Linked DNA regions of Sus scrofa. The protein of the gene in region 2 purifies or fractionates together with the protein of the main gene of each other region. This does not show direct contact. Links are inferred from orthologs where the notes say so. Each region holds a gene or a part of one and is shown on either strand. Other genes may lie near its edges.

Region 1 (6,131 bases), on a different chromosome or scaffold from region 2:
AGGAGCATTCTCTGAGTGACTGACTCAGCGGGCTGGGGCCCATCCTACCCATATGCTGGCTCTTCTTCAGCACAGTTCAAAACATCCCTCTCGTCATTAAGCCTTTGCTCAGCCCCCAGCTGAAGGGATGCTCCACCCTCAGCTAATGAGGCACTAGCTGTGTTCTCTGGGGACCTGTAAATGCCAGTGGATCTGTACTGCAGAGGAGAGCAAGACAAATGAAGAAACTCAGACTGCAAAGTGCACTTGGGGGTGCCGAGTGACAATGTGACAAAGTGTCCGGCAGGTTGCAAGGAACGGCTGCCCTTCTTTAACTAGACACAAAATACTTCCTGGAAGAAGGGGGATCTTAGATGCTTTTTTCCAATGTTAGAAACAGTTCTTGATGAGCTGCAGGAAGATGTTACAGACAATAAGTGAGGCCCAGGAGAATGGTAAGATGGAAATGGACTAATGATCCAATGAACAACTGCCAACTTCTGGGACTTAATTCCTGAGCCAGAGCCTGACGGGGTATGGTGCAGAGTGGACCGGCCAGAGTAATGGATGGAAAAGGCAATAATGACAACAAACTTAGGCCTGACGGTGCAGGACCACCGCCATGGAGGAGAAACCAGCCCATACCCAGGAGAGGTCGAGGGGGCTGAATGACTCCTACGCTTTCACAGGTGGAGCAAAAGAAGCAGGAGAAGTTGCACAAGAAAAATCAGAAGGATTCGACTGGAAACATTATCTCAAGTAATTCAGGTGTCGGGAGGATGATATGGCAAGTCCCACAGAACTATGCTTTTTCCCATTCCCCATCAAAAGATGCACGGAGAGGCTGTTCAGAAACAGCATTCTCTCTGGAATGCAGAGCAACTTACAGAATCGTCTCTTGCCTCTTCTACTGCAATAGGGAGGTAAACTATTTCTCAAAGGAATAAAATAAGGCAGGAAAAAAAACATGACCCCAACAAGCGACTCAGCCAAATGTTCTGGTGACTTTCGTTTTTGGTGGCCTGACTTTCCCACTGTTCTTAAAGAAAGCGGCCTCTACCATGCTTCCCTTCCTACTGAGATGAACCTCCCCGCTTCTACCCCCAACACACTCCAATTTAGTGGTAGCCTGCTGGCAGGCCTATCCTGAAATTATGCCTTATGATGTAACTCCGCCAAATAAGAAGGAGAAGCATGAAGGCTCCCTGCCAGTCTTACCGGTAGAGTAGTCAGTTTATTGCAGGACAGATCCAGTATGGTGGCCTTGGAGAGGGCAGCCTAGGAAAGGGAATGAGAACAAAACGTCAGATCAACACATGGAACAATTCAGTGACATCTGCTAATGAAGCAATTTCCAGAGAAAGTCCCCACGATTAGAAAAGACCTTAAAAAAAAAAAAAAAAAAAAAAAAAAAAAAAAAAAAAAAACCTCTAAAGTATAATGTTCCTGGAGACAGGAAAGGCAAAATAAGCCAGTCAGAGTCAACCAGGACAGAGAGATGAATGCAAAGAGCAGGGATTCCTTTCCAAGAAAGGAAAACAGATTCTTAGAAATTCTCCATGGCACTCCTACTATTCCCTCTAGTACTGCTCCCGATTAGGTTCAGGGCAGGGACTCTGTCAAACAGCTTTGTGATTTCCATATTCTCTAGGTCAAGGCTCTTCTCCATATACCCGTTGGCTGATCCACGACTGAATGAATGAGTACATGAGTGAGTGCAAAGTAAAATAAGGCCCTCACATCCCAGCTCTGTTTTCCCATGGGGTTCAGCTTGGAGAAGCTCAGCAAAACTAATCCTTCCGTCTCCCGGGGGCGATGTTGTGTCAACCAGATGCCTGGAGTAAGTGCTTTCAGATGGCAGTCCTAGGGCCAGGCTGACACATGGCTGGCCATCTTCCTGGGGCCAGGAAGAAGGCAAATATTCGGTTAAGGATATTGGGTCAACTCTGCACTTTCCAAATGTCAGAAAGTCCCAAGAATGACATCTGACGACCTAAAAAAGTTTGAGCTATTACAATGGGAAGCACACCTTGGTAATACCTACATGTATGAGCATTTGCTACCTGCCAAGTAGTTTACATTACAATTGTATTTAGTCCTCCCAACAGCCCTATGAGATAGCAACAACTATCACCGTGTTATAAAGGAGGATAATCTAGGCTCAAAGGTTAACTAGCCTGCCAAGGGTACTAAGCCATTAAGCAATACAGCTGATCTACGAACTGGGAATCCCATTCTAACCTGGATACTACACAGCCAAGGTGGAGGGAAGACTGGGCCAAGTGCCAAAAGCAAATATGATCAGTTAGAGACAGTGACGAAAGTGCAGGTCATCCAAAGCGACGCTACTGTGGGGGATAAGGGTGGGGAACTAGGTGGGCAAAGCAAGGATGTACATTAACTTCACTTTGGCAACAAACTAGTCAGGTAATGTCCCTTGGGCCTCAGCCTGTTTTCCTGGTTGTGGGAGTGGGGGGGGGGGGGCCACCCTGGTGCAGATTCCCGCCAGTTTCAGAGTTGGGAAGAGACCTTGCCAACCAAGCAGTGACATTTCACTCTCAAGGAAGGACGCCTCAAGGCTGGGACAGCCAGCTGGGATTGGTCGCTTCCTAGAAAGGCCTGGTTCTGAGCCACACCCAGGTCTACCCGGAGGCCTACTCTGACGAGTCACTCATTCATTTGTTCATTCATTCTCCCAAAACATCAAGCAATCTCTCCGTGGGCGCCTACTCTGGGTCGGGCACGGAGCGAAGTTCCCTGAAAGCTCTTGAAATGCACGAAGATTCACTCCTGACCCGTAAAAAGCCCATGGCTACACCAGCAGCTAACCTCCCATCTTCTGGACCTGCGCCAAAGTGACACGTGTACATCCCAGGAAGAACGCTGGGGCTGGACGCGGCCTCCCCGAGGACTTAGTCCCACTTCCCCCACCTCGTTTTAAGCCATGGAAACTGAAGCTTGGGAAGGAAGGAGACCCCCCCCCACCAGGGGCCAGCGCCAGTCGAGGACCGGCGCCTTGGGCCTCGAGGGACCGTACTGACCAGCTCCTTGACAGGGACCTCATTCAGGTCGCTGAGGCTCAGGTCCAGCTCGTTGCCGTCAAGCTTGTCGCGGAGGTTCCCGCCCTTGCTACCGGCCTTGGTCATGGTGACGCCGGCTGAACGGGTCCCGGCCCCGGGGCTCCGACGGGCAGGAGAAAGGCTGAGAAGCCGCTCGTGGACTGAGGGGACGCGCACTCAACCGACAAAGCCTACGTCCCCCGCCGCCGCAGGTGCGAGATCACCGCCGACCGTCCGCCCGCCGGCCGCACTCTGAGCCCCGCACCCCGTTCCCACCGGTGCCGCCGCGACGACGACCACTTCCGTGTCCACGTCACCTTCCGCGGCCACTGAGACAGGCTGGGCCAGAGCGGCCAGAGCATGTTCGGGAGCGCCCTCTGGCGCACAGGATGGCGCACTGCTGTCCCGGGCACGGCCGAGGGCGCCGGTTCAGGCTCTTTTTTTTTAGGGCATCCGCGGCATATGAAAGTTCTCCATGCCACAGCCACAGTAACGCGGGATCCCAGCCGTGTCTGCGACCTACACCACAACTCACTGCAACGCGAGATCCCCAACCCGCTGAGCGGGTTGGAACCCGTGTCTTCAGGAATACTAGTCGGATTGGTTTTCTCTGCGCCAGAATGGGAACTCCTGGTTCAGGCTCTTTCTGTTGCCCGCCCCCTGAGCAGCTGGGTATCCGGGTGGCGGGAAGGGCGCCGGCTGGCAGTAGCCTCAGGCAACGCCAGAAGGCAAAAAGGCTGGGGGCTGGAGTTCCCGTCGTGGCGCAGTGGTTCCGACCAGGAACCATGAGATTGCGGGTTCGGTTCCTGCCCTTGCTCAGTGGGTTAACGATCCGGCGTTGCGGTGAGCTGTGGTGTAGGTTGCAGGCGCGGCTCGGATCCTGCATTGCTGTGGCTCTGGCCTAGGCTAGGCCGGCAGCTACAGCTCCGATTGGACCCCTGGCCTGGGAACCTCCATATGCCGCGGGAACGGCCCAAGAAATAGCAAAAAGACAAAAAAAAAAAAAAAAGGCTGGGGGCTGGAGGAGCTCACATCCAAAACTTACCTCACCAGATTTTCCCCATTCTTCTGGATTAGGAGCAGAAACTAGATGTCCTTCAAAATTGCTCTGTCCCCTATTTAACTAACAATCCCCAAATCATCATCATCGTCCGGAAAACTTTGCCTCTCTCTCTCACCTCCTCCTTACCTCCCCAAGCCCTGGGACCAGCAACTTACGCCTGGATTACTACTCACAGTGTCTCTACCTCTCATCCACCTCCACCCAGCTGCCCACATGATATTTCTAAAAATCTAGCCAAGTCTCTCCTTTGCTTAAAACCCTTCAAACCTCCAGCTGTCTGTAGGATATGGACCACTCTCTTTTCTAGACTGAATCCTGTGTGTTCCTGCAACTTTCTGACAAGCCCTGGCCCCAGCCAGGGATACTTCAGAGACTTCCAGTAGGTGGCATCCACACCTTCCCTGGTCTTGGAATGGCCCTGCCTTCCGACCTACCTTTGCTACCTAGCTAATTCCTAGTCCTTCAGGAAACCTTCCCTGGGGTTTATGAATCCTTAAGCAGTCACCATACATTACCTACAAACAAGCATTATAATGGTACCCGGCTGATAGAGTTTGAGGAGGACTGAATTAGTAAAATACATGAAGAACTTACATCAGTGTCTGGCACTTAGTAAGTACCCAGTCAATACTAGCTTTCACTCCTAATCCACCGTTATACTTACCTTTGTGCGACTTTCCTCCTAATGGGTTGTGATGGCAGGGGTTTCGCCTTTGCATTCCCAGTGTCTGATCCAGGGTAGCTGCTCATTCAAAAGTCTGTTGAGAGTTCCCACTGTGGCTCAGTGGTTAACTTATCCGACTAGGAACCACGAGGTTGCGGGTTCAATCCCTGCCCTTGCTCAGTGGGTTAACGATCCAGCGTTGCTGTGAGCTGTGGTGCAGGTTGCAGACGCGCCTCAGATCCCGCGTTGCTGTGGCTGTGGCGTAGGCCAGCAGCTACAGCTCTGATTAGACCCCTAGACTGGGAACCTCCACATGCCATGGGAGCAGCCCTAGAAAAGGCAAAAAGACAAAAAAAAAAAAAAAAATCTGTCGAATGAATGCATGAAACACGTCACCCACTCCAGACTTCAGTTGGCTTATTTTTGTTTTGTTTTGTTTTTGCATTTTAGGGCTGCACACAAGGCATATGGAAGTTTCCAGGCTAGGGGTCGAATCAGAGTTACAGCTGCCGGCCACAGCCACAGCCACAGCAATGCCAGATTCGAGCCATGTCTGCGACCTATACCACAGCTCATGGGAACGCTGGATCTTTAACCCACTGTACCACGATGGGAACTCCTGTCTTATTTTCGAAATGGAGAGGGGATCTATGAAGAACCAATGAAGTCAGTTCAGGGGCCTACTCAATTAACAAATCATTGTGCGTACTGCTCCCCATCCCTAGGAAGGCACAATACTCTGGGCTCCTGGGAAATAGACAAAGGCAGTTGGGGTAATGCTATATTAGCACTGGGCAACCTCTAAAGCCCTTGAGCATCCATTCTTTTTTTCTTTTTAGAAACGCACCTGTGGCATACGGAAGTTCCCAGGATAGGGGTGGAATTGGAACTGCAACTGGAGCCTATGCCACAGCCACAGCAATGCCAGATCCAAGCACATCCTCAACCTAGGTGGTGGTTTACGGCAACACTGGATCCTTAACCCACTGAGCAAGGCCAGGGATCAAACCTGCATCCTCAGGGACACAATGTCGGGTTCTCAACCCACTGAGCCACAATGGGAATTCCTTGAGCACCCATTCTTATTTTGATTCTGCATATGAAGAGACCATGGGGCACATTTTATTGTTATATCCCTTTTATGAAGGAGGAATAAATTGACCTCAATCACATAGCTGGTTGAGGGAAACACCCAAATTTTTATATTCTGTTTTTGGTTTGTTTTGTTTTTACAGCCACGCCTGCGGCATATGGAAGTTCCCTCACTAGGGGTTGAATGGGAGCTTCTGCTGCTGGCCTACGCCACAGCCACAGCAACACTGGATGGAGCAGCATCTGTGGCCTACACTGCAGCTTGTGGCAATGC
Region 2 (5,361 bases):
TCTATGTTCAGTTTTCCGAGGCACTTCCATGCCCTTCTCCATAGTGGTTATACTAGTTTACATTCCCACCAACGGTGTAGGATGGATGTCTTGGATGACTGCTCTTTTTTTTTTTTTTTTTTTTTTTTTTGGTCTTTTCTAGGGCCGCTCCTGCGGCATATGGAGGTTCCCAGGCTAGAGGTCTAATTGGAGCTGTAGCTGCCGGCCTACGCCAGAGCCACAGCAACACGGGATCCAAGCTGCGTCTGTGACCTACAGCACCGCTCAGGGCAACGCCGGATCCTTAACCCACTGAGCAAGGGCAGGGATCAAACCCGCAACCTCATGGTTCCTAGTCAGATTCATTAACCACTGGGCCACAATGGAAACTCCTCGGATGACTTTGAAAACATGTCCCAAAGCCAACTTTTCATAAATATTTTGGGTAACTGCAAAAATAGCTTGTCCTGGGACATTTATCCCGTGCCGAAACTTCCTCTAGTGTGAAGATGATTTGGCCGAGAAGAGGAGGAGCAATGAGATCCTGCGCAGGGCCATCCAGACCTACCAGGAAGCGGCCAGCCTGCCGGACGTCCCCGCAGACCTCGTGAAGCTGAGCTTGAAGCGACGGTCAGACAGACAACAGTTTCTAGGTGAGATGGCTAAGAATCTGCTCAGTAGCAAATGGTGCGCTTTTATCTTGAAAAGCCTGACGGCTGTGTGTACTTGTAGAAAAGTTTAGTTACATGGAAGGAAACCTGAGTATTATAACTCATTTCAGGCAGTTTATCTGATGGTGACAGACTGAAATAGCAATCCTAATCTTCATACTGGCAAAGATGCAGATGGTATTTTTGCCGCCAACCCACCCCACACACATTTTACAGATGAGGCAAATGGAATCTTGAGAGGTTGGATAATTTGCCTAAGGAATCATAGCTAATAAATTAATAGGTCTGGAATCAAGAGCTCCTCCTATCATCCCAAACTCTTCTCTTTCTGAACTATCACCAACTGGTTCACGGAGGCTAAAAGCATCAGTGCAGTAATTTTTTTTGTGGCCCCAGTCCCCCCGGGCCAGGGATTGAATCTAAGCCTCAGCCGTGACCTCTGCCTCAGTTGTGGCCACACCGGATCTTTTAACCCTGCTGCAGTCGGATTCTTCACCCACTGGACTACAGTGGAAACTCTGAGTGCAATAATTTTTCTGGAGGAATGGTGGTTCTAAGCCCTCTAAAAAAATTTTACCTGTTGGAGTTCCCGTCATGGCGCAGTGGTTAACGAATCCGACTAGGAACCATGAGGTTGCGGGTTCAGTCCCTGCCCTTGCTCAGCGGGTTAATGATCCGGCGTTGCCGTGAGCTGTGGTGTAGGTTGCAGACGCGGCTCGGATCCCGCGTTGCTGTGGCTCTGGCGTAGGCCTGCGGCTACAGCTCCGATTAGACCCCTAGCCTGGGAACCTCCATATGCCGCGGGAACGGCCCAAGAAACAGCAAAAAGACAAAAAAAAAAAAAAAAAAAATTACCTGTTGAGTTTTTTACTTTATACCGTAGAACATGATAGGGAAAAAATGTTCATCAACAAGCAAATTTGCAAATTCTTTGAACAGAGCCGCATAAAGCATCTACTCTGACTGACCCAGGTTCCCAGGGCCAAAGGCAAGCGAGACTCACTTTATTTTAACCAGGCTAGTGGTGGGTTCTCTCTCACCCAGAATGCCCTCAGTGTGCCGGGAGGGGAGACTAAAGCATGTGTAACTGCTCAGGTGGGCTCTCTGCTGGCTGGATAGGTTATGTAGGTGAATTATCTCAGTGTCACTAGAAGAGCCCCATGAAAGTAGTGTTCAAAGCCAACTGAACCTTGTATCAGTTTTCCGAGGGTTAGAATTAAAGGGAGTTGTGTCGCTTTGGTAGATGAGTTAGAAACTGGAAGAAATAGCCCATTAGACATATTCATAAGGGCTAGTCCAGGGGAAGAAAAATGCACAGCACACAGAGCGGATGGAAAAGGCAGGGCTGCGGCTCCATGCACGCACGCACCTTGGGTGCGCAATCAGTATCACCAAGCTGTCCTCTTTCCGCAGGCCTCTGATGTGGCTCTGTTTGGCACGGTGGGTTTTTTACATTAATTTTTATTTTTAAAAAGAATACATAGGTGTTCCTGTTGTGGCTCAGCCGGTTATGAACCTGACGAGTGTCCATGAGGATGCAAGTTTAATCCCTGGCCTCACTCAGTGGGTTAAAGATGCGGCATTGCCATGAGCCGTGGTGTAGGTCACAGACATAGCTCGGATCCCGCGTTGCTGTGGCTCTGGCGTAGGCCCGCAGCTGTAGCTCCAATTGGACCCCTAGCCTGGGAACCTCCATATACCGCAGGTACGGCCCTAAAGAAAGAAAGAAAGACGTAAAATATCTTTCATCTTGATTCCTGGATTTTTGGTGCCCTTTTATTAAACTCTGCACTAACTGTCAGCCTCATCACCCTATATAGCCCTGGAGAAAGATGACCTGTGAGTAGGTCTGACCTTCTTTCGAAACAGTCCTTCAATATTTGAATCTAGTCTTCTCTCTGAATGAGAATGAGACGGGGAGGGAATCCGACACAGACAAGGTGGTTCGTTCCTCGGAGGCAGCATGGAAGGAACAGGGAGCATGTGGCAGCAGGACAAAATCTCACCTGGGCCTTTGCTGTGGTTCAGCTGGGGGGAGTTTAGAGGCAGAAGGAAAGTGTGAGCCTAGGCTGGGCAGATGAGAAGGAAGGGTCCAGGGAGGGGGAGTCAGATTTATTCATGAAAGAAAGAATGGCTGAGCAAACCACCCTAGGTCGCCAGTAATGGAGAGTGGGTCATGGGGTAAAGTAGCGGTATTTTATGCCAGATAGGTTTTCTGTTAGTGAGGCATCTAACTGCAATTAGCTTTTTTTTTAAATTATTAACGTATAGTTGATTTACAGTGTTATGCCAATTTCTGCTATACAGCAAAGTGACCCAGTCATACCTGTGTATACATTCCCTTTCTTAGATTATCTTCCATCATGGTCTATCCCAAGAGAGCAGATAGAGTTCCCTGTGCCAGGCAGGAGGATCTCATTGCTTCTCCTTTTTAAATGTAATAGTTTACGTCTACTAACATCAAACTCTCAGTCCATCCCACTCCCCCCCCCCAAAAAAACCTAAATGCCATTTGCAGGCATGTGGATGCAACTAGAGATTCTCATACCAAGTGAAGTAAGGCAGAAAGAGAAAGACAAATACCGTATGATGTCACTTGTACATGGAATCTAAAATATGGCACAAACAATCCTATCTGCCTTAGCTTATTGATGGTCCTACCATCTTAGCTGATTTTCAGTTTGTCAGCAAAACCCTAGTGGTAATTAATCTCATTATGTATACTAGTCTCATTTGGAAAACTTTCTGTTATACTTGTCTTTCCAGCTATGATGAGGAGTAATGACGCCTGGCCCCTGAAATCTTAAATTCCATAAGAGAGCCTTAAAAATGAATTGAAGCTAGGTTTTCATGACATATGTGCGCATAGTATCTTATCGTCCACCAGAGGGCGCCCTAATACCGAACGATGCCTCCTTTGCCTCCATGACTAGGTCGAAACCCAGAGAGAGAGCACCTCAGTGCCTCCTCAGGTTCCATGGAGGGTGCTGGACCCTCTATGAAATCTATTAGATTTTTTTATTTACCTGTTCTCTATGCATAATTTTAAAGTTAGTCATAATAAACCAAAAATATCCCAGAAAAATACTTTTTAAGTAAGGACTTGATAACTGAAACTTTCTTAAGAAGGAATTTGACATCAAAGGATAAATGTTGATGATGAATTTAGAGAAAAAGAATATATATATATAATACATATAAAAAACTGGGTAACTTTGATGTGCAGCAGAAATTGACAGGACATTGTAAATCAACTATAGAAAAATTAAAAAGAAAAAGAAAATAAGAATGCCTTTAAAATATTTATCATCAGTATTATATTCAGTATCTTCTTATGGGAGCTACTGATGCTTTGGCAGCTGCAGAATGAAATCCTAATAGAGACTTAGCTGTCAGTATACAGTCAGATTTAAGCAGGTCTTCAGGCTCTGTTGAATAGTCTCTTATAATGTGTAGTCTCAATACAAAGGTGAACATAATCTGTCTTTATTTCTACTGTTTTTTTTTTTTTTTTCTTTCCACCGAATCAGGTCACATGAGAGGTTCCCTGCTTACTCTACAGAAGTTAGTTCAACTCTTTCCTGATGACACTTCCTTAAAGAATGACCTTGGCGTGGGGTACCTCTTGATAGGAGATAATGACAATGCCAAGAAGGTTTATGAAGCGGTGAGCAAGCAGCAATGTGCTATTAACTACATCGAATAATTTGAATATGAAGTTCTAATGTTACTTGCAAATTGCATTTAATTCTTCCTGTCTCTTACTCTATTTTATATTCAGTTAAATAGAATTTAAGTATTATTATGGTTGGCTATCCTAAGTTTTGTTTCATCCTTTCCCCACTTCATCAGAAGATTTTAGATTTTAGATGACCCTTGGTACATCAAAACCTTCAACTACAATTATGATATTTTAAAAAATGATGTATTTATCAGTCCACAAATAGGCTTTCTAAAAGTGTTCTTTATGATAGGAAGAGGAACTCAAAAGCTTGTGAACTTAAACTCATGACCTGAAAAACACATAATCTTGTTCTTCTTTTCACTCAAAGTCCAAACTAGAGAGAGACTACACAACACAAGACTTTCGGACCTATGGACTAAATCACTCACCTTTCAGAGGGCATTGACTGTTTGATCCTACAGCAAGGATACCTTTAAAAAAAAAAAGTCGGAGTTCCCGTCGTGGTGCAGTGGTTAACGAATCCGACTAGGAACCATGATGTTGCGGGTTCGGTCCCTGCCCTTGCTCAGTGGGTTAATGATCCGGCGTTGCCGTGAGCTGTGGTGTAGGTCGCAGACGCGGCTCGGATCCCGCGTTGCTGTGGCTCTGGCGTAGGCCGGTGGCTACAGCTCCGATTCGACCCCTAGCCTGGGAACCTCCATATGCCGCGGGAGCAGCCCAAGAAACAGCAAAAAGACAAAAAAAAAAAAAAAAAAAAAAAGTCTCCCTTAATAATGGATGCTGTAATAAATAACTGCAAAGTCACAAGTAACTATATCATCTAGAAAACTGTGACTCCTTCAAGCACTGAGGGATCTTGGTACAGAATAGACAGGATTGAGAACTATGTCTAGATACTCATATTGTAGCAGAACAAAGAGAGGGAAAAAAATGTATACATGTAAGAGTAACTTGATCTCCATGCTGTACAGCGGAAAAAAGAAAAAAAAAAAAGAATAGACAGGATACCCAATGAACTTTGAAGCT

Evidence for each region. The genes of interacting proteins can lie anywhere in the genome.
Region 1: the proteins of ASPH (region 2) and LRRC59 purify together in Homo sapiens (co-immunoprecipitation; 3 studies listed by BioGRID and IntAct, with this or other methods). This does not show direct contact. The link is inferred for Sus scrofa from reciprocal best matches to the Homo sapiens genes ASPH and LRRC59.

Annotation. Positions count from the first base shown.
Region 1 is NC_010454.4:26,690,936-26,697,066, forward strand, and holds the start of LRRC59 (leucine-rich repeat-containing protein 59), read right to left. Parts: upstream 3,333-6,131; 5' UTR 3,126-3,332; coding exon 3,021-3,125; intron 1,258-3,020; coding exon 1,198-1,257; exon of another isoform or gene 1-1,197.
Region 2 is NC_010446.5:72,048,527-72,053,887, forward strand, and holds part of ASPH (aspartyl/asparaginyl beta-hydroxylase), read left to right. Parts: intron 1-481; coding exon 482-632; intron 633-4,180; coding exon 4,181-4,317; intron 4,318-5,361.